Tamandua tetradactyla: one gene and its partner. The protein of the gene in region 2 purifies or fractionates together with the protein of the main gene of each other region. This does not show direct contact. Links are inferred from orthologs where the notes say so. Each region holds a gene or a part of one and is shown on either strand. Other genes may lie near its edges.

What was found. The genes of interacting proteins can lie anywhere in the genome.
Region 1: the proteins of YAF2 (region 2) and TFDP1 purify together in Homo sapiens (affinity purification with mass spectrometry; 3 studies listed by BioGRID and IntAct, counting the BioPlex papers as one, with this or other methods). This does not show direct contact. The link is inferred for Tamandua tetradactyla from reciprocal best matches to the Homo sapiens genes YAF2 and TFDP1.

The regions. Positions count from the first base shown.
Region 1 is NC_135330.1:184,322,632-184,333,057, reverse strand, and holds the start of TFDP1 (transcription factor Dp-1), read right to left. Parts: upstream 4,254-10,426; 5' UTR 4,134-4,253; intron 4,124-4,133; exon of another isoform or gene 4,009-4,123; intron 3,940-4,008; exon of another isoform or gene 3,917-3,939; intron 3,577-3,916; exon of another isoform or gene 3,448-3,576; intron 3,326-3,447; exon of another isoform or gene 3,304-3,325; intron 2,862-3,303; exon of another isoform or gene 2,725-2,861; intron 1,972-2,724; 5' UTR 1,908-1,971; coding exon 1,896-1,907; intron 1-1,895. UniProt on the Homo sapiens protein: Can stimulate E2F-dependent transcription.
Region 2 is NC_135333.1:101,733,405-101,744,437, forward strand, and holds the start of YAF2 (YY1-associated factor 2), read right to left. Parts: upstream 4,631-11,033; 5' UTR 4,452-4,630; coding exon 4,426-4,451; intron 3,995-4,425; coding exon 3,869-3,994; intron 2,120-3,868; exon of another isoform or gene 1,738-2,119; intron 1-1,737. UniProt on the Homo sapiens protein: Binds to MYC and inhibits MYC-mediated transactivation. Also binds to MYCN and enhances MYCN-dependent transcriptional activation. Increases calpain 2-mediated proteolysis of YY1 in vitro.

The DNA of each region.
Region 1 (10,426 bases), on a different chromosome or scaffold from region 2:
CTCTGCCTGAAATACCCCGGTGATTGTCATCTTAACGCACTCTTCTCCAGTCCTCCACTGTGTAATCTACCAGTGCTGCAAAGGATAATTCAAAATCAGGTCAAGGTAAACCATCCAAAATGTTCCCAGCCACTTGGCCACCCCTTGCTCTGGCTGCCACAGCACCTTACAGGTGTTGCTCCTCCAGAAGTGATCACATTAGAGTAAACTGTCTGAATCTTTCCCTGCAACTTAGAGAGCAGAAGCCTTGATGCATTTATCTCTACATTCCCAGAGTCTAACACTGTATCTGGTACATGGAAGGAGGGTCCAAATTAAATCAATGCAGAATTGATGGCTTCGAGAGCAAGAAGTCTCTCCCTCTCCTCTCATTTCTAGCACATCATCAATGAAGTATCCAAGTGTGCTTAATAAAGTCAAAAATAAAGTCTGTTCCTTGAAACTACAAAACACACAAAAATATATTCCAACATATTAAGGTGCAGCATCAGCATTTAAAAGAGCATTTAAATATTCTGTTTCTAGAGTATATACCACATGTCCTGCTGCCCTGCACTTTTACGGCACGTAAAATGGCCATTGACAAATGTAATTGGAGATGATAAAATCAATGTTGCATCATATACAGATTATGGCTTTAACTTAAAAAGAAAAAATTACAGAGTCCCCTTACACATCCTCTGTACCAAATTAAACCAGAAATGCTTGAAAACAGGGATCCTGGTGAACATGAGTAGACAAAGAATTGTTAGTGAGAGTTTGGGGCATACCACGAGGCATTCAGTAAGACTTTTTAAAAAGTCAGTAAACATTTTTAAACTAATGCAAAGAGCTTAACATCTATTATTTGGTTCAACAGGTATGAATACATTTTTATTACATACTGTGTGTTTTAGGCAGATGCAGTACGCCTGAGTTGTACTTCCAACTACGATTTTAAGTAAATAAATAAACACCTTCTTTTTACTAATGTTATTTGCTTATTTTACTTTTACTAATGCTTACAAAACAATGCATTCTAAGAAACACTAAGGAATATGGTTGGTGTTTAGGTGATTTTAACTGATTTTACAAAGTGTAGCAAAAAACTGCATGGACCAATAAAACTGGCTATGGTCTCAGATCTCAAACCTAATTTCTTAAAACAAGTTAAAAAAAATTTCAGAATGACTCTATAGTTTCATAACAGATACAAAGTGAGGTAAAGTAACTAGCGTTCTTCACAGCATTTCGTTAATAACCAAATCTCATTCTTCTGGGGGGAAAAGTAGCCAAAACACGTTGACGTTCAAAGTTGAATTAATTCCCTTCACTCTACACAAAACAGGTACACACTGTTTACAACCTAAGTTTAGGGTCATTCTGTTCATGATAAGCAATGCTCCCCAGTTCCAGATCTCTGCAGGGACTTTCATCCGAAGTAAATAGCGCCCTTCTCTGCTGAGCATCAGAAAAAAGGTACAGAGCCAGCAACTACTGAGCTCCCACGACATAACTATTTTGTATTCTCCATCTCGTTTAATTTTGTATTCCCCCTCTCTATTTAATTAAGGAATGCCTTAATAAATATATTCAAAATTATAAATTTAATGCAGTCTGAAAAGATTAAGAAAAAGTGAAATTAATATCATTTAAGCACCACATAATATTTATCATCAGGCATTCATGATTACAAAAAACACAAAGGGAGAAGTCATACATCTTCACGTAGGCTACTAGATTTCTTTGTTCTTTTTCACCTTTATCTTGTTTCATCTGCTTTAAAAGTTTAAAAACAAACACTATTGTAGTTTATGTGCTGTCACTCTGCAAAAAAGTGGGAAAACTACAAAGAATTTAGTACTTCCTTACTTCTCACTATTAAAGCTAGGTAAGTATTTATAACATGTACTTACATCTTTTGCCATGTTACCAGATCCGTGAAATCAATTCTCTAAGTGTTCGCCCTCCAGAGAAGAAACAATGATTTTTCTGGCAAACAAAAAAAGAAAGAAAGAAAGAAGGAAAAACAAGAAATGAATAAGAATAAAAAAGAAGTCAGTAAATAAAATATCACATCTTACAGAGACATTTTCCCCACCACCACTTCAACTGTGCTTCCAGGAAACAAGAACCTCCTTTCCTAATTGCATACCCTTACTCAATCCTGAAAATAGAACAGTCAAAACTCATACTTACGACTTTAAAAGTCATTTCAGCAACTGAAAACATACTTTAAATTGACAATCCCATATACAACCAGGATGCAGAAACTCCATTATCCAAAATCATTGCCACTGTACCATAACTTTTTCCCAAGATCACCCAAAGAAGCAATGGGTAAAAACCCCTGAACACACATGCCTGGATTACCTTCACATTTCTAAAGCATTCACCTATAACATTAATTATACCAGTAGGTACATTCATCTCACATATCTCTACCCTTCGCCAACCGAGGCACACACACATATGCGCAAACCTAAGCTGCCACATATTCACCCAACAGGAATATAACTCCCTTTTATGTCCCTGCACAAAGACAAGTACGCAGGGAAATCCATCCCAAAAGAACTCTTGAGAGGGTCTTCTCTCCCACCGTGGTCAGTCTCCAAGTGGCTGATTCAAGCCTGGTTAGACTGTTAACTCTGACAGGTGGGCTTCCAGAGGCACCTTAGCCAGTCCCAACCGCTCGAAGCCCCCCACCCTCAACCTCCACGCCCCCAGCCCGCCCGGGTCCCTGACCTGTCACTAGGCCTCAGGAGCCACCTCCACCGAGAGGAGCCTCCCTTCCCCCGCCCGCCACCGGAACCGGCAGTCCTCGGCCCGGAGCTCCCGAAAGGACCAGGTCGGTGGAAGGGTCAGCCCCTCCCCGTCCCCTCCCGAAGGCTCTCGCTGCAGGCCGGAGCGGATCCGGCCTCCCGGGCCCGAGCGCGGACGGCGCGCTCGGGCCCGGGACGGATCCGGCTGCAGTTGCAACCCAGCCGCCCGCCACCACCCGCGCCTGGTGCACCTCCCGGCAACAGGCGCCCCCCGACCCCCTCCCCGTTGGCCCCGCGTCCCCGGGCGGGCGAGGGGCGCGCGACGATGCTTATCCGGGGCCTGAGGGCCTAGCTCCGGCCCTGCCGCCCCGCCTGCCCCAACCCGGGGACTCCCCGCGGCTGATCCGATCCCCCACCGTGCCCTCCCAGGCAACGAGCCGAGTCCCCCAACAGCCCCACCACCCGCTCGCCTCGGCCGGGCCCTCTCCCGCCCAATCGCGTCCTACTCCCCACCCGCACCCCCTCTCTTCCATTCCACATCCTACAGCCGAGGTCAAGTCACCTGGAGAGCAGCTTCCTCCCCCGGCCGCCCACCCCCCCACCCAGCGAACGGCGGCGGCGAGCCCCGCAGCCCACCACCAACTGCAGCGGCTACAATGAGGCGCGGCGCGGCGGCGTGGGGGGTGCGGGGTGGGGGAAGGTTTACCGACTGCACATGTGCGGCGCACACAGAGCACCAGGAAAGAGCCCCAAGGAGACACCGAGCCTTGCGCGCGGCGCCCACACGCAGGCGAGGCGGGGGCAGGGCCGAGGGGCCGGCCCGCCGGGGACCAGTCCGGCCCGGGCTGTCCCCTCGCCGCTGTGGTCCCGCCCCCCGCGCCCGGCGGCCGGCCCCGACCCAAGCCCGCCCCACAACCGCCTCTCGGGCCGGGCGCCCGCGGACCACCCGGTGCCCCCTCCCTCCAGGACCAGCTGCTCGCCCTGCCCTCCGCCCCATCCCCCAGCTCCATCCTCCCGCGACTCAGGCGTCTCAACACCCAACACCCCCCTTCTCCATCCTCTCCGGGTTCCCGCCCCAGGGCATCCTCTTCCCTCCCCTCCGGCAGCCCCGGCCGCCCGCGGCCCGCGCGCACCCGCCCTTCGCCTGCAGCGTGGGGGTGGCCGGCGCCCCGCACCTGGCTCGCCCGGTCCACGCTCGCGCGCGGGGCTGGGGGCGGAGATGCAGGACGCGGAGGCTGAGGGCCCGCCACCCGGGTCCCGCACTCACGCGAGGACGGCGGGGGTAGGGAGTCCCGGCCGCCCTGGCCAGACCACCCTGCGCCCTCACTCTCTTCCCGCTCGTCGCCGCGACCCCGGGAGCGGTGGCACCGGGGGAAAAAAATTGAAACTTACACTTTGTACCGGGAGCGTCGAGCCGGCGTGACGTGCCGGGAGCGCGGTGACGTGCGGCCACGAGCGGCCCCATAGAGACTGGCCCAAAGTGTCAGTTTCACCCCCGCGCGCTCCGCCTCGGGGAGCGTGGCGCGCCTGCGCGCCGTTTTCGCGCCTTTGGCTCCCTCCCTCCCTCCCTGCCTCCTCCCGCCTGTTCTGCTCCGCCCCCGCCTGGCGCCGGGAGAGGGGCTCTTGTGGATGTTTCTGTGTGTGTGTGTGTGTGGTGTATCTGTGTTTGTGTGTGTGTGTGTGTGTGTGTGTCCGAGAGTGTGTGCGGAGGAGAGAAGGAAAGAGGAGGCCGGGCGACGAGCGTGTGTGGCAGCGGGTGGGCGCGCGGCGCGGAAGCTCCTTCCTCCCGCGGCGTGAGCTCCTGGCCCGGCACCGCGCGTTCGGCACCGCGGCCTCCTGGAGGCGAGGAATCTTCAGACACCCAGCCACCGCACGGCTCCACGCCCACGACCACCCTCCACCCAGCTCCTACACAATTCCATGCATCCTCGATGCCCACCGGGGAGGCATCCCGGAAGTGGGTTCCGAAGGGAAAACCAGGCAGCCCAGTTTCATCCTCTGACTGCCGGAGCGACCTCATCGCCGGTGGGGCTTGTTGAACCCTTATCTCTGAAGACGTAGTCACAACTTCGACCTCACAGCTACTAAGACCAGTGGGTGGATTCAGCCATAAGGGGGTGAAGAAACACAACAGAGGGTTGACTGGTGCATCTTGAGTAGAGTCGGAAGTTCAGTTCTGGATTAGGCAGCAGTGTCCAAGCCCTCCCCTCCCTACCTCGCCGCCTCGTAAGTGTGATGCATAATTAACGTTTGCAAAGCACTTTGAGGTGCACAGACCAAAGGCGCACCGTGTGCAACGTGTTATTACATTACACCCCACACACACCACTTAGCATGGTTTCACAATTTAGCCACTTTTATGCTGATTACACCCACTTCTGTTTCTTTAGTAATGCACAGATCCCTTAAATCTCTGTTCACTTGTCTTAAACTATTAGCAAGCTGATTAACATTTCTTCTTTTAAGAAAAGTTAATGCAAAACTCTTCATATTCTAGGTACAGAATAGTGCACAATGGGTATTTAAAGAAACATTGATGATTGAGATGAATAAAAGGCACCAAGAGGAAATGTCCTACAAATTAATATCCATAGAATAACATTACTCTTTGCTGGTGAAAATTTTACAACTCAGCCATTAGCAACCCCCCATGATTTCAGAACCAACTTTCCTCCATTATGTTCTGCAAATGTCATATTTTCCTATCTCCATTCCTCAGTCTTTTACAGAAATTATTTACTTCTGACTAAATTTAAATTTAACCCATGATTGCAATGGTTAGCCTGGTTTCCCAGTCTCTTGGAACTAAAGGTAGCCACTTTAGTTAGCACCCCACCATGAGACCTAGGGGCTCAGTTAGGAAGACGTAAACTTAAAATCATAATATAGGGGTGGGCCACAGTGGCTCAGCAGGCAGAGGTCGCGCCTGACATGCCAGAGATCCAGGTTCCCTTCCTGGTGCCTGCCCACGTAAAAAAAAAAAAAAGAAAGAAAGATCATAATGTGGAATCTTAAACTCCTTCCCTACAAATTCTAGATTCTGGTCATTCAACAATATTTACAGAGGGTGAAACTACATCTAATATTATTGGGAAATTTTTCTGCCTGAAAATTACTGTTGTGAAATATTCTTATATTCACATATAAGAATGTACCTATCTCTGAAAGCTCATTGAGGCTCTGGTTTGCCAGAAAAGGGGAAAAAAAGCTTTTTCCTTAGTCAAATCCTGTACCAAAAAAAGCCCCCATTTCTGTGTTAAAAGAGAACAGAATTCTCTCTAAAAGTTTTGGTTGAAGATCCAAGTATTTTTAGCCCCTGCCTTGCCTTAAAAATTCTAAATTGGATTCCTGAAATGAACCTCCTTCTTTAATAAACCCATAACACCCTGTATTTATCTAATACTTCCACATTCAATGTCTTGGGTATGCATTGTTTAGTAAACATACTTCTTTTAATGATGTACTCATTTGGGTATTGGTTTGATACATACCCCAGTGTTGGCATTCAGCCCTCTATTGTTGTGATAGATATTATGGACACCAGATTTGTCGTTATGATCCAGGATATGACATGGAAATGTTCTGCATTTTGTTAAAAGAAAGTGATGAGGCCCTTTCCAAAAGGGCAAAGGCTCATCTCCCAAAGCTCTCTCTCTGTCTGAGAAGGTTCTAGTCTACTGAGTCTCAGGGCATGGTACAAATCTTCCTTTCCTCCACCCACTTCCCCATTAAACTGTCCCTTAATGAGTAAGGGAAAATTTTCTAATCCCTTGAAATATTCTAATTCTAAATTTATTTGATAGGTGTGCAATTTGTCTTTGGTTTCTCTCCTAAATCATACCAGTCTTTTCTCCAGCCACTGCCTCAGTTTTTCAGACTTTTCTGACCAGCAAAGCCAAGGTGATATCAAGAGGTCTGTGATGGGAAGGGAGGGAGGGGGGTGGGCTCATGGAGTTTATGAGAGAGAAGGAGTGGACATTTTAAACTGTATTCCTTGATATGGACAAATGACATTTTCTCATTCTTTGGTAAAACATAGGTAAAAGCATTTTTAGAAATTCTTGATGTGTTTATTCATATGTTTCATAAAATATAAATCATATGCTTCTTCATCCTCAAGATAAACCCCCTGGACACTCTCTCAAGCTAAGTCACCACTTTTAATTCCCACCTATATAGAAATTCTGGAGTCCCCCACCCCAACCCAACCCCGCCATCACTTAAACGCATGAAGATATTTTCAATTCTCTCTTAATATTTCTTACCTCATTACTCCTTTAAAAAATTCCTAGTCAAATCTTACAGTCGCCTTGAAAGTTTTAGTCTATCAGCCTTTGACACTATCACATTGTTAGGCTTTTATGATGATTGTCTTAAAGACTTTAACAATTATTTACAATCTGAAGTGTCTACTACCTAGATGCTTTTCATTTGCTTTTTATCTGCAATTTTCTCTGGTTTTTGCAATGAGCGAAATCTTTTCCTTCCTTTGGCATTTAATTCCACAGCTTCTTAAGGTGTTCCTTCTCTAAAACTTGACATTGCTCTGGCTAGGATGATATCAAGATTATATTCTTACAAAATGTAATTTTGATAAATTTCAATTCTACTTACTGTTAAGTTATAATTACATTTCATTCCACCCTTTTATATTTGCTTTGTTCCTTTTTTTCAGTTAATATATCAAACTGTTAAAAGAAAATAGACTTCTGTTATGCTTTTAAAAAAAAGATTATATTCTTCTCTAAAGTTCTTCAATTTATATCATTTCCTTATATCGTTTCCTTCCTCAATAGAATCCATTTGCCATCAAACAGGAGTGATACTAGCACCAGAAGCCTTCAGTATAATTTGATTTAAGAAACTTGACTTTACATTCAATTGAATATCTTTGGTCATTTCTCTACTATTTGACCATTTAACTAACAGGTTCAAAAGAACTCAGCCAGAAAGGATCTTAGGTTTACCTGTTAAAATGAAGCTGGGATCAAGGAAAGTCAAATTACCTTGGGTAAGTCATCTTAGCCTCTCTGATGCTGGATTTCCTTTAGCTGTGAAATAACTAGATAAAAATATAGTTCTTTGATAAGCACACAAACCACAATTTCAAAAGTGTTCCCTTTTTTGCTTTCCTCTTTCAGCAAACAGTTTTGAGCTGCTAATATGTGTCAGATACTATTCTGGGTGCTGTTATTATACACATTAATAACACAGGATTGCTCAGAGTCATACAGGAGAAACAGATTCAGATACAATTAAAGATTACAAAACAAGATGAAGTTATATTCATGACTGAGAAAAAGGATGGTGGAAGCACAAAATCAAAAACAATTATTTCTCCCTGTAGGCGTTCAGGGAAGACATCACAGAAAAGTGACATTCGAGATGGGCTTTGGGCAGATGAATGTGTGTGTGTGTGTGTGTGTGTGTGTGTGTGCACATACACACATAAGAAGACATCTTGGAAAATGCTCAAATCAGCTTAAGTTCCACCTGCCAGAACTTAGTCCATGGCCACGCATGGCTGTAAGTGATGCTAGAAATATAGTCATTATTCTGGGCAGTCATAAACCCACCTAAGAATTTGAAGATCTATAAAAGAAAAGAGAACAAATAATGGGAGACAATTAGCAGTTACTTCCAGTTGAAGTTGCTGTTTTTCATCCAATAGTCTAGCTTCCAGATGTCAGGGAAAGAAAATATTGACTCTTAGCCATCCATAGTTGGAAGTAGCACCCTGCCTTCCACATATATTCAATAATAGTGGATTTCTTGAATAAAAGGAGTTGCTTCAGACACCAAAGAGCCTCCAAAATACAAGTGTTTGCTATAGAAAGCTCCTGAACTCATTCAGTTAAGAGATGATAAGGGTCTTTAATAAAATAATGGTAGTAGTGAAGAGCAGGGACCAGATTCCAGAGGCATTCTGGAAGCTGAAGTAACAGGAAATAGATATGGATGGTGCTGAGTGAAGAAAAGTAAAAAGGCAGATGTGATCATAATATTTCTCTAGGCTGGGCAACTGTGTTAGAAAATAAGAAAAGGGGACCTTTTAGAAGAGTAGTTTTGACAAGTTGAATTTCAAGGTCGAGAGAAATGTTAAGTGAGATAACCAATGGACTGTTGAAAATACAAGACTAGCGTGCACCACAAGCTCAAGATGAAAGTTACAGATGCAACTGTTGTCAGCATATGGATGATAGTGAAGCTGTGGGAGTGGGAGTCACACAGAGAGAACATATGGATAAAAATGAGGCACAACAATTCCATCCTGACCAAAAAGGGGGAAACAAGTGTAATTAATAAACTATCAGTGGCAGAGAGACTTCAAATAGAGCCGAAATGCTACTCTGGAGGTGGCTCTTATGCAAGCTTCAATTAGACATTGATACCTATCATAACCTGCCAACCCCCAACCAGAACCATTCCAGCCAATCCTAAAGAATGCCTAGAGCAATATATAAGATTCCATAAACTTTCCATGTACTAGAGTAACTTTCCAGAAACCTACACCCTCCAGATGGGTCCCTGGTCCAGATAAGTCCTGAAACCTAGCCCAGCCTCTCTAGAACATCAAATAGTTCCATCTCCCTACCCCATATTAGTGACAGATCCTTCCAATATGAAAAATTTACAATTCCCATAGCCCAAACACCCCTAAAGAGAAGGATGGAAAATCAAAGGTGATGGTGGAGTTATACAGAGAAATAGGATTTAACAAATGAACAGAGAAGATAGGATTTAACAAATGAATCCGAATGCTGAATCATTAAATTGATATCTCTTTTACTCTCCAGTATTTCATTTTATTTTAATATTTTTATTGACAAATCTTCACAAACACACAGTCCATACATGATATACAATCAATGGCTCACAATATCATGACATAGTTCTGTATTCTCCACCATAATCATTTTTTTATGAAACATAACCAGTACAAACACAAACATTCTTACCATATGATCATTCCATTCTTGTTAAATAATCAGTAACTCACAAAATCATCACATAGTTGTATATTCATCATCATGATCATTTCTCAGAACATTTGCATCAATTCAGAAAAAGAAATAGAAAGCAAACAGAAAAAACCTCATACATACCATACTCCATACTCCTCCCTTTCGTTGATCACTAGCATTTCAATTTACTAAATTTATTTTAACATTTGTTCCCCCTATTATTTATTTACTTTTTTAAAATTTATTTACTTTTAATCCATATGTTCCACTCATCTGTTGATCAGGTAGATAAAAGGAGCATCAGACACAAGGTTTTCACAACCGCACAGTCACATTGTGAAAGCTATATCATAATACAATCATCTTCAAGAAACATGGCTACTGGAGCACAGCTCTACATTTTCAGGCAGTTCCCTCCAGCCTCTCCTTTACACCTTAACTAAATAGGTGATATCTATTTAATGCGTAAGAATAACCTCCAGGATAACCTCGTGACTTAAGAATAACCTCCAGGATAACCTCATGACTCTGTTTGGAATCTCTTAGCCATTGACACTTTACTTTGTCTCATTTCTGCTCTTCCCCCTTTTGGTCGAGAAGGTTTTCTCAATCCCTTGATGTTAAGTCTCAGCTCAGTCTAGGATTTCTGTCCCACATTGCCAGGGAGGTCCACACCCCTGGAACTCATGTCCCACGTAGAGAGAGGGAGGGCAGTGAGTT
Region 2 (11,033 bases):
CATAACACTGTATTTAGAGTAAACAAATTTTTTTTAATGCAGAAATTTCACCTCTTTGGCTGACACATAAAGGAAAGATTTATTAATACTACCTCATATACAGAATTTGGTTCAGTTCTAAGTGTTGCTGATTTGACAAGACTCTAAAATTTTACAGAAGAAACAAAGAAATATCTATCTTGCTCACCATTAAATGTCTAGTACCTAGCTCAGGCCTTGAAAAAGTAAAATACTCAATAAACATTTGCCGAATACTAAATGTCGAAGGGGTTGAAATGAGATACGAACCCAGGTTCCCAGACTCCTTCATCCAATATCTACTGCTCTTTCTACTGTATGAAACCTTTTCACAGTTCTCTAAAATATCACCTATGAGGAATCTAAAGGAAAATTTGCCCCAAGAAAACAGGCAAAGAGGAAATCATACTTGCAAGCCTATTATGTACCAGGCATTTTATTTTATAGGTTCTTACTTTGACCATAGTTCAAAACCAAACCAAATAACTTTATCACTTTCATTTTCAAATGCATGTTACCTGAATTAAGCAATGAAATGATTTTCCAATTATATACAACGAACTGATAATAAGATACTAGTCTAAAGCAATCACCATACATGATTACTGTCCTTGCTAAGTATTTCTTTTTCTCTGATAATTCAGAATGGTTCATTTCCCAATGTTCCTTAGGTTTACATCTATGACACTGATTACCGTATAAGAAATTAAGATTTGTAGCACCCATGACAATCATTTAGGACCACAGATTTTTCTTTTTTACTTTTTTCTGTCAGTTTGATATTTATCACATTTCTCTCACAAAAGCACGATGCAGAAAACATCAGGTATTTGAGCTATCTAGTTATTGAGGTTCTGGTTTCATAAAAAGTTTAACAGATCAAATAAACTCATTAAGCCCAGCAAGCACAAAAATTGAAATTCAATCATAGGCACATAAATATAAAGAATATAACATCAATTTATTGGTTAAGGAATCGAATCACATTTTATTTTGAAATACATACTATGAATGCAAGCTCATTTCATTCCATATACTGTTATTCTGAACATGACCTACCAGGGATATAGACAAAGGAAATGATCTTCTGTTTAAAAGGATTTGAGCCAGATATTCTTAAAAACAAAAGGTCAATAAAGACTTTGATGGGGAATGATGAATTCATTTTTCTCTAGAGATTTAAAGAAAAGATTTTCAAATGTCTAGGATGGCTTAGACTTGGCCTCACTTTTGGAGACTGAGACAGAATCAGTTTAAAGGTCAGGTTGACCCAAGGGATTCAAATCCTGTGTGTCAGTCACACAAATCATTAGCAAACTACATCCTTCTGTACTGCAGCTACCTAATCCTTGCTTTGGTACTATGCAGCCGTTCCCTTCAAATTAACCTAATTACTAATTAATGTCAGTAGAGAATTATTTATTCCAACCACTCCAACTTTTGCTTCTCAATGTATGCTACAATCCTGTTTCCTAGTATCACCAGAGAGGAAAATATTTTGTGGTACAATCAATATCTGTCCTATTAACAATGTCCTGTTCTATTGTTCCATCCAAACATGGATTCCACTCTAAATTTCAGAAACAACAGTAGGAAAATAAAAGATAATAAAGAAATTAGAGCTCATAGGTTTAACTTAGGGCCAAAATCAAAAGAGAAGAGACAATTCAAGAGAGGAAGGAAGAAGCTGAGAGGATCGCAGTGTAGAAGAACACTTACTTTTAGGAACAGAGTGTCCCTTAGACTTCTGGTGAGTTGCCCAGAGCCTCTTCAGTTTCAATCCAAATGACAATGCTTCTCTGAGTCCTCCTCAAGTAATGTTTCGACCACTAAAAATTGGATCTACAAGAGCTCAGAAGTACCGGTAAAAAAATGTCAGGGGCCCTCATGTGGGCCTCATGCCTCTTTTAAACTAGGCCCACTTCTCTGTCCTGGGCCAACTTCCCTGTGCACTATATTCCTTCTTCTTCCAGGTGCCAGGTATTCAGCCTGTTTCTTCTCTTCTGAGCTGCCACCACCTACTCTATTTCTCAGGGTTTCTCTAACCCCAAGACTGGCTGTGGAGTAGTAGGACACCAGCTTCCCCCCTTCCTTGCTGTCCCTGCAAATAAACATATAGGCTCTTCTAGTTTCAGTATTTTTCTAATGGCTAAAAGAAAATAGAGAGGGAACAACAAAAAGCAACAATATAGTACCAGAGATTAAGATTATAATAATTGTTTCCACTTTAAAATTCCTGCCTCCAAAAAAAATTTTTTTTCTAAGAATTGCTTATAAGCATTTAAAATAGTATAAAATGCTTTCATAGATATACAAATATAATCTAAGCTAACTCCAACCTATTTACCCATAGAGATACTCTACTTTTCAAAATACTTAAATCACGGGTCCAAAAGTGGTTACTATGTTCATTTTAGCAAATTGGTACTTTTCTATTTTTGAACTTTTCTGTTGTTTTAGTTCCTTAAATTTAGCAGTAGATATTTGAAAGTGTCCTTTATAAAGGATATCGTGAAAATGTTAAATATACTGTATCCACTGTAAAAGGAATATGCAAAAAGCATTTCATGATTTACAAAAAAGGCACATAAAAAAAGTTAACTTCACTGAGAAAAACCTTAAAAATCTAAACTTTTGTTTAAACATGTTTAAAATTTAAACATTTATCTCCACGTTAGAATTTTTTAATAAAATGCTATAAACGGTGTTTAAAAATCAGGGTATCAGGCAGGCCAAGGGTGGCTCAGCAGGCAGATTTCTTGCCTGCCATATCAGACACACAGGTTCGATTCCTGGTGCCTGCCCACGTGCAGAAAAAAAAAAAAAATCTGGATATCTCATTTTTAGAATCTAATCCTGATTGAATATTTAAATCCAATGTCAACATTATTTAGGCCCTCTTTTTTGCAGCATTAGTATATTTATTACTGTGATAATTTAATCACTAACAGACTGAAATCAAAATACAAATATTATCTAAATATTAAGCCATAAATCAGAGGACTGAATTAAACTGAATTAATTGAAAGGCAACCTTTCTGTAAAAGCAAAGGAACTTTGTAAGTAAGAGCTGGTGACAAGAATGTCATTAACTGACTACCCCGGATGATTTTCTTTATCCACTTAATTCACTTATGTAGCTTTTTAAAAGACAGAATTATTACATTGTAAGCCTACAAAACAGCGTTAAAACTGAAAACAGGCAGAGAACATTTCATCTCATTTTAACGTCTAATTGATTGCCATTTAATCGAAGTAAAGATATTCAGATAATTTCAGTAAAAATGCGTTTCTATTGATTGGCTCAGCTCCAACTACTTATCTATAAAATATTAGAGAAGTGGAATAAAAACACCAAACAAACCTTGATCTGACCCTTCCAGGCACTCATTTATAAAAAAAGAAATCTGATCTACTGTGCATTCTACAATCAGACACTTTTTTTTTCTTAAGGAACGAAATTAAATTACACCCTTTGCTCCTAAATTGGATTTCATGGTTTTTCCTTGATCCCCACACACTAACACAACAATGCGGCCAACATTATTATATCCGGGGGAAGGGAGGAGGGCATTACACTCTGCGATACGAATTAAATCGCAGTAGCTAATGTCTCGCTTAAATAATTTATTCTCTCTTGGCAATAAAAAACGTTGCAGCCTCTTCAATTACCCCACACCGCAAACCATCACTTGGGTCGCGATCAATCTGACCCAATTCCTATCGCGGCCACCACCTCAGTCTCGCCTCCTCTTGCCCGGTCTGCGAATGTCACGGGAAGGGGCGGCAGCCGCAGGGTCGTCCTCTGCGCCGCGATCAGTCAGCCGGCCGCGCGCGGGGCAGGACTCACCGGGTGGAGGTGCCCTTCCGCACATCGCACATCATGCACTTGAAGGCCTCGGCACTGTTCCGGAAGGTGCAGACGCTACAGTCCCAGTAACCCTCATCCGAGGACGGCTTCGGCTGCCGCTTCGGCCTGCAGGACACAACCCGGACACGACGCGGCGCAGGGTCACCAACAGGCCGCGCCCGCCGCCCCCGCTCCGCGGCCGCCCCCGCCCCGCCCCCCGGCCCCAATTCTGCGACCCCCCCAGCCCGCCCGCCAGCGGCGCGCAGCGCTTCGGCTCCGAGAGGGAAGAGGAGTGGGAGTCAAGAGCCGGGAAGGCGCGAGCGCCGCTGCAGCCGCCGCCGCTGACACAGGGGGTTGCCTCTCCGGCCGCCGCCGCCATCGCGGCTCCATTGTGGGGCGGCCGGCGCCAGCCCCTCACGCGCCAGCGCTCGTGGAGCAGCGGCGCCGCCCCCGTTCTCGTCCGGGTGCCCGGGCGGCGAACGAGGGGGCCCGCCCCAGCCCGGCACGAGGGCGCTGCCGCCGGCACAATCCGGGCCCCGGGGCCTTGGCGCTCTTACCTGGTGGGGCTCTTCTTGTCTCCCATGGCTTGGCTATCAGTGCACGCCGAGAGTCGCCGCCGCGGCAGCTCTGTTTATCAATAAGAAAGATAATAAGCCGGGCGGAAGCGGGCGGGGAAGGGAGGAGGGAGGGGGCGGGGAAGGCCGCACCGCCGAGCTGGGAAGCTGCCGCCGGATCCCACGCAGCCTCCAGCTGTCGGGGAAACTCCTGCCTGGGAGCACGTGACCCGCGCGCGCCAACCAGAGGCCGCGCCGGAGACTTCAAACGCTGCCAGCGCGGCCCAGCACCCGCGGCGAGTTCGCTGGCTGCGGGCGTTGCGGGGGCGGCCGCCGCAGCTTTAGGCGGCGTCGCAGCTTCTCGGTCCTGTTCCAGGCGCTTCCCTTCGGCATCCCGGCTGGCTGTGGATGTCGCGTGATGTAGATCCCCTCTGACCCTTTGAAGCGTCTGTCCAGCCGGCCAGAGGAGATGTTCCGTCATCCCGCTCAAAGCCTGGTCAAAGGTGGGGCTAGCCTTCTCGAGGTCAGCCCGGCTCGGGACCACGAGTGCCCTGCCGGGCGGCCCTTAGCCACTCAACACCCCTCCCCAAAGGATACCTGAAGGCAGGCAGGAACCAACAGTGAGCGCCATTGCTAGGTGTCTTAAAAACAGTCTGGTTTAATCTACGCAAATGCTCGTAAGGATTGTTGCTCTTAGTTTAAAGGAAGAAACCGAGGTTCAGGAGAGGTTTGGTGACGTCCTCTAGGTTACATAATTAGAAAATGGCAAAAACAGGACTCTAACCTGTTTTGATTCCAAACGCGCTTCTTTGGCCGTAGAGACCTCTGCAGGAGATGCTCTTAAAAGAAAACGAATACTTATAAGCCATGTTTTAAGATAATAATATGCCTGGAACGTTGTTGCCTAAGAAGGGAACGATGTTGCCTGTTCACGTATTCTCCCAGAGTCTCATTACCTCAAATACTGAAGGACCTTTTCACCTTGTGAAAACAAGATAGATTCGAGCAACAGCTGTTTAACTAGCGGTCTCTAAAGCTCTAGCCCTGCCATCCCATGTATTCAGTAAATCACAACCAGATTAATTATAAAAGGCTGTTAACAAGGCGGCCCACGGTGGCTCAGCAGCAGGGTTCTCGCCTGCCATGCCGGAGACCTGGTTAGATTCCTGGTGCCTGCCCATGAAAAAAAAAAAAAAAAAAAGGCTATTAAAATTGTGCCACAGCTCTGCTCAAAAACCTAACAGGTTCCAAACTCTGCCAGGCCTTTCTCAAATTTCCCTTAACTCCCCATCTTTCTTCAGAGAAGTTGCCTTCTAGCAAACACTGATAGGTTATATTCAATATTTCCCTTCCCAAAACTCTCCCTTCGTGCACATTTTACGTCTACACTGAATATTTCCTTCTTTCCTCTGTGCCTGTGCTATTTCTGCCCATTTTTCTAGGTTCACTTCAATAGGATAATATTATATAAAATGATTATAAATATATGAAATAATATTATAGTTAGTAGGGTCTTAATATAGAAGAAACACGCTGGCGTGCCCTCTCACACATACACAGAACAGTACAGAGTCCTGGGTTCTCGGCTTGGTTCACTGTTCCTTAACCAATGAGCCTTGGAAAACTTGATTAATTTCTGTAATTCTCAACTGCATCTGCAAAATGACAGCTATATTTATGAGGTTATTGTGGGATTAAAAATTATTTAAAAAAAAACAAAACAATTTTGAGCACCACGTTGCCAGGCACTTTGCAAATCTTTTTACATAGATGCATACTTTAAAGAGCTCAAAGTGCTATGAAATGTTAGTTCTCACCATCTAGTTGCATACCTTCGTTTTAAAGACAAGGAGTTTAGGGCCTGGGTTAAATGGCTTCTCTTTAATGAATTTTTCAAGTTTAGCACTCAGATATCCTATTAGTCTCCCACTAAGCTATGCTTTCTGATTAACCATATCAGTCCAATTTACAGCGGTCTCTGAACTTGTAGCACCATTTTTTCTTTTTGCAAGTGTTGCTTCTCTCAACTCAGACTGTTTCACCCTAGAAGGCGAGACTATGATTGAGGAAAGCATGGATCTAAGGCCTAGTTTTCTCAGCCTTATAGTTATATAAGAGATAGTTACATCTCTCAGTAATACAGCAGTAAACACAGTTAGGTTTCAGTTTTATTTCCATCTGTAAAATGAAGTTAAAACAATTATAACAATTCAGGTCCCTTCCAATCCTAAGGCATTATGTTTTAAATTCTTCAACTGGATGGATCATCAAAAAGATTGACTAGAATCGGTCTGCTTGTAAAAGGGATGCAAAATGTATTTTTGAATAAATAGAAAACTAAATCAGGCACTCTAAAAACGCTCCATGCTGTAAATCACCATTTTGCTAGAATATAAACTCCATCACTAGAAATTAAACTTCACCTCTAAATCGTAAGCTCAGAAAGGGCAGGCACTTTTATTTGTTGTCTTCGTCACTGCATCCCTAGTTCTAGAAGTCTGGCAGGTAATAAGCACTCAATAACTAGTCTGAGAATGAATAAATTCACCTGTGTCACAGTTCTTGAATAAAGTGTTTTTTCATACTGGTTTCACAGCCTTTTAAGCATATTAGCATGCAGTAGATGCTCAGTAAATGCTGGTGTTTATAACAAGTCTGCAAACTGAAATTTACAATTTTGCAAGACAGTTCTTATGGAAGAACGAGGAATTAGACCCAGTTTCTGTGGAGTGCAAAAGCAAATGCCTTGCAATCTACTAGCTGCCTACCATTTACTGGGTACATCTCTTTTAAAAATTCCTTCCTATTTTAAGCTTACATGGAGACACCAGTACAAGGAGCACCTCCTCCTACTTCACCACAAAAGTCACACCATTTTTCCTGAAATGTTTTCCCTACTATCTGGAAGAATGACCCAGGTTTAGATGACTCTTTGATACAATAACAAAGTTCCATCCTTTAGAAATGCAGTTCACTGGCATCACTTGTAAAGTGACATGAGTACTTTAACAATACTTTTAACAGTTTGGCAATAAAGTTCTGATATTTTCTAATGAAATTCTTTAACAATTTTAAAGAAATTAAAAGGTCATCGCTATAATAATATTCATTTCCATTCTAATACGATTCCTAGAATTGGAGAGACTGGAGAAGTTTCTGAAACTGCATGGCTTCACATGCACAGGTACACAGTAATATATTGTCTGTGGAGGTGTCAAAAAAGATCGAGAACTTCTGTCTTAGTTCAAGAGATTGACGGTAGGATCCCTGAGAACCCAGGCTCTTCTGCTTAGCCCTGAGTTTATGTCTATGAGGCAAACACAACAATTAAAAAAATATACAAAAAACTAAGCTTTAAAGATGAGTATAGTTATTAGACAACAGAGGTTGCCTGAAATGAGGAGTGCCATCTTTGTTTGTTTATCAACTGGAATTTGAGAGAAAAGAGCGTGACTTGTGACTAAGGGAGAAGCTGAACCACAAACCTTCCCTGAGAATAGAATGCAAAATGAAGAAAGTCAGTAATAAGCCACAATTGTAAAACCAATCACATTTTAAAAGGTTGTTTGGTTTTTGTTTGTTCAATCAGTTGTTTGTTTGGTTTTTGCAAAATGAAAATACCTTTACTGATTTTGCTGGTTATAAAAGTTATATGTTGCCAGCATAAAAACTTCACTGAAGACTCTTGTGTGTGTGTGTGTGTGTGTGTGTGTGTGTGTGTGTGTGTGTGTGTGCATGTGCACATAAGGTTGACTGGCTTATTTTTTTTAATAGATTTATCTTTTAGAGCAATTTTAAGTTTACAGAAAAATTGCAGAATACAGAGAGTTCCAATATACTCTCTCTCCTCCACGCACGCAGTTTCTCCTGTTATTAACATATTGCATTAGTTAGACATTTGTTATAACTTACAAACCAGCATTGATACATTATTAACGAGAGACCATAGTTCCCTCTTTGTTCTACATTTTTATTGGTTCAAGCACATAATGTCATGTATCCACAATTACAGTATCAAACAGAATAGTTTTACTGCTCCAAAAATACCTCTTACTCCACCTTTTTATCCCACCCCACCCCCCACTCACCCCAGCCCCAAGCAACCACTGATCTTCGTTTGCTATCTGCCAGAATGCAATATACCAGAAACAGAATGACTTTTTAAAAGGGGAATTAATTAAATTGCTAGTTTACAGTTCTAAGGCCAAGAAAATGTCCCAATTAAAACAAATCTATAGAAATGTCTTATCAGGCATCCAGGGAAAGATACCTTCGCTAAAGAAGGCGATGATGTTCAACATTTCTCTCAGCTGGAAGGGCACACGGCAAACACAGATCATCTGCTAGCTCTCTCTCCTGGCTTCTGGTTTCATGAAGCTCCCTGGGAGGCATTTTCTTTCTTCATCTCCAAAGGTTGCTGGCACGTGGATTCTCTGCTTCATGGTCCTGCAGCATTCTTTGCTCTCTCCGAATCTCCTCCTTCTCCAAAATGTTTCCCTTTTCATAAGATTCTGGTAAACTAATCAAGACCCACCCAAATGGGTGGAGACATGTCGTCACCTAATCCAGTTCAACAACCAGTCTTGATTAAATCACATCTCCAGGGAGATGATCTAATTACAGTTTCAAACATACAATACTGAATAGGGATTAGAAGAAACGGCTGCCTTTACAAAACGGGATTAGGTTTAAAACATGGCTTTTCTAGGGTACATACATCCTTTCAAACCAGCACATATAGTTTTATCTTTTTGAGACTATCATAAGGTGTAATCATATAGTATGTAGCCTTCACAGACTTTCTTTTACTTAGCAATATTCATTTTTTTCATGACTTGATAGCCCTTTTTTAAAAAGTCACTGAATAATACTCCATTTTATCAATGTACTAAAGTTTTTTTATTCATTCACCTACTGAAAAACATTTTATTGCTTTCAAATTTTGGAAAGTATGAGTAAAGATGCTATAAACATTCATGTGCAGATGCTTGTGTGGACGTAAAGTTTCAACTCATTTGGGTAAATACCTAGGAACTCAATTGCTAGATTATATGATAAGCCTAGGTTTATCTTTGTAAGAAACTGCCAAACTGCTGTCCAAAAGGGCTAAGCCATTTTCGTTTTGCCACCGGTAATGAAAGTTCCTGTTGCTACAACCCTTGGCCAGCATTTGGTAGTGTCAGTGTTTTGAATTTTAGCCATTCTAACAGGAAATTGTGGTATCTCATGGTTGTTGTTTTAATTTGCAATTCCTTAATAACAATGTTTAGTGTCTTTACATCTTTGATGATGTTTCTGTTCAGATCTTTCGCCTATTTTTAAATTGGGTAGTTTGTTTTCTTATTGTTACAATGTAAGAGTTCTTTGTATGTTCTGGATACAAATCTTTATCAGATATCTTTTTGCAAATATCTTTTTGCAAATATTTTCTTACAGTCTGTGACTTATCTTTTCATTCTCTTAACAGTGTCATTTAAAGAGCAGAAGTTTTTAAATTTTAATGAAGTCCAACTTATTAATTTTTTCTTTTATGGAGCATGCTATTGGAGTTGTATCTAAAAAGTCATTGCCAGAGGGGAATGCCAAGATGGCGGCTTAGCGAAGTGTGGGACTTAGTTTGTCCTCCAGTACAGCTACTAAATAGCCAGGAACAGTACAGAACAACTCCTAGGGACATGTCAGTGCCCCGACACACAGCATACCCCAGTCTGGACCAGCTGGACCAGCTGCAAGCCCCCCAGAACCATGAATTCCCCAAGCCGTGGCAGCCGGTCCCCCTCCCCCACAGGCTGCTTCCCAGAGGGGAAAGGAAAGGGACTTTACCAGCAGCAGGGGCTGAGCACAACCAAGCTCCAATTGTGGAATTAATTAACAAGTTCTGACTACTAAAAATAGGCCCCCAGCTCAGCTGAATCTGGTCAAAGCGGAGGATGCTGATTTTTGCCCCGGCACCGAGGGGGCAGGGCTGACAGAAAAAGAAAAAAGAAAGAAAGAAACAGAGGTTTTTTTGGATCAGATAGTACCTAATACTTGAAAGGGTCTGGGCTCTGAAGGAAAGGAGCGGTCACGTAGGATCTGAAGGTACACAAAGCAACATACAACTTATTCTCTTGATTGGCAAACCTGAAGAATGGGGGTCCTGCTCCAAGAAGGATTTTTCTCTTTTTTTGCTTTTTGTGGCTGTGTTTCTAAAAGGCTACACTGTCTTTGGATACAGCTGCAAGGCTTCTCAGGCTGCAACTGCCCCAGGCATAGACAGCAACAAGCTTGTTGGAGAGCTTGTCTGGAGCCTGTGCCTTTACCAGGAGAGGGGTGGGGCCCAGCTCAGGTGGATTCCCTGACTCAAGGAATTCAGACCCCAGGGTTTGGAAAATTGAAGCGATTAAATCCAGCCTACAACCTCTCCTCTGTCTCCACTACGCCCCCAGCATGAGATTCAGCTGAAGTTAAAGGTACTGCATCACCTTATGCTGGTGGGACCCGCAGGCAGACAAGGGCCACATACTGGGCAGGCTAGGAAGAACACAGAGTCCAGAGACTTCACAGGAAAGTCTTTCAACCTGCTGGGTCTCACCCTCAGGGAAAATGGACACAGGTAACTCTTTCCTCCT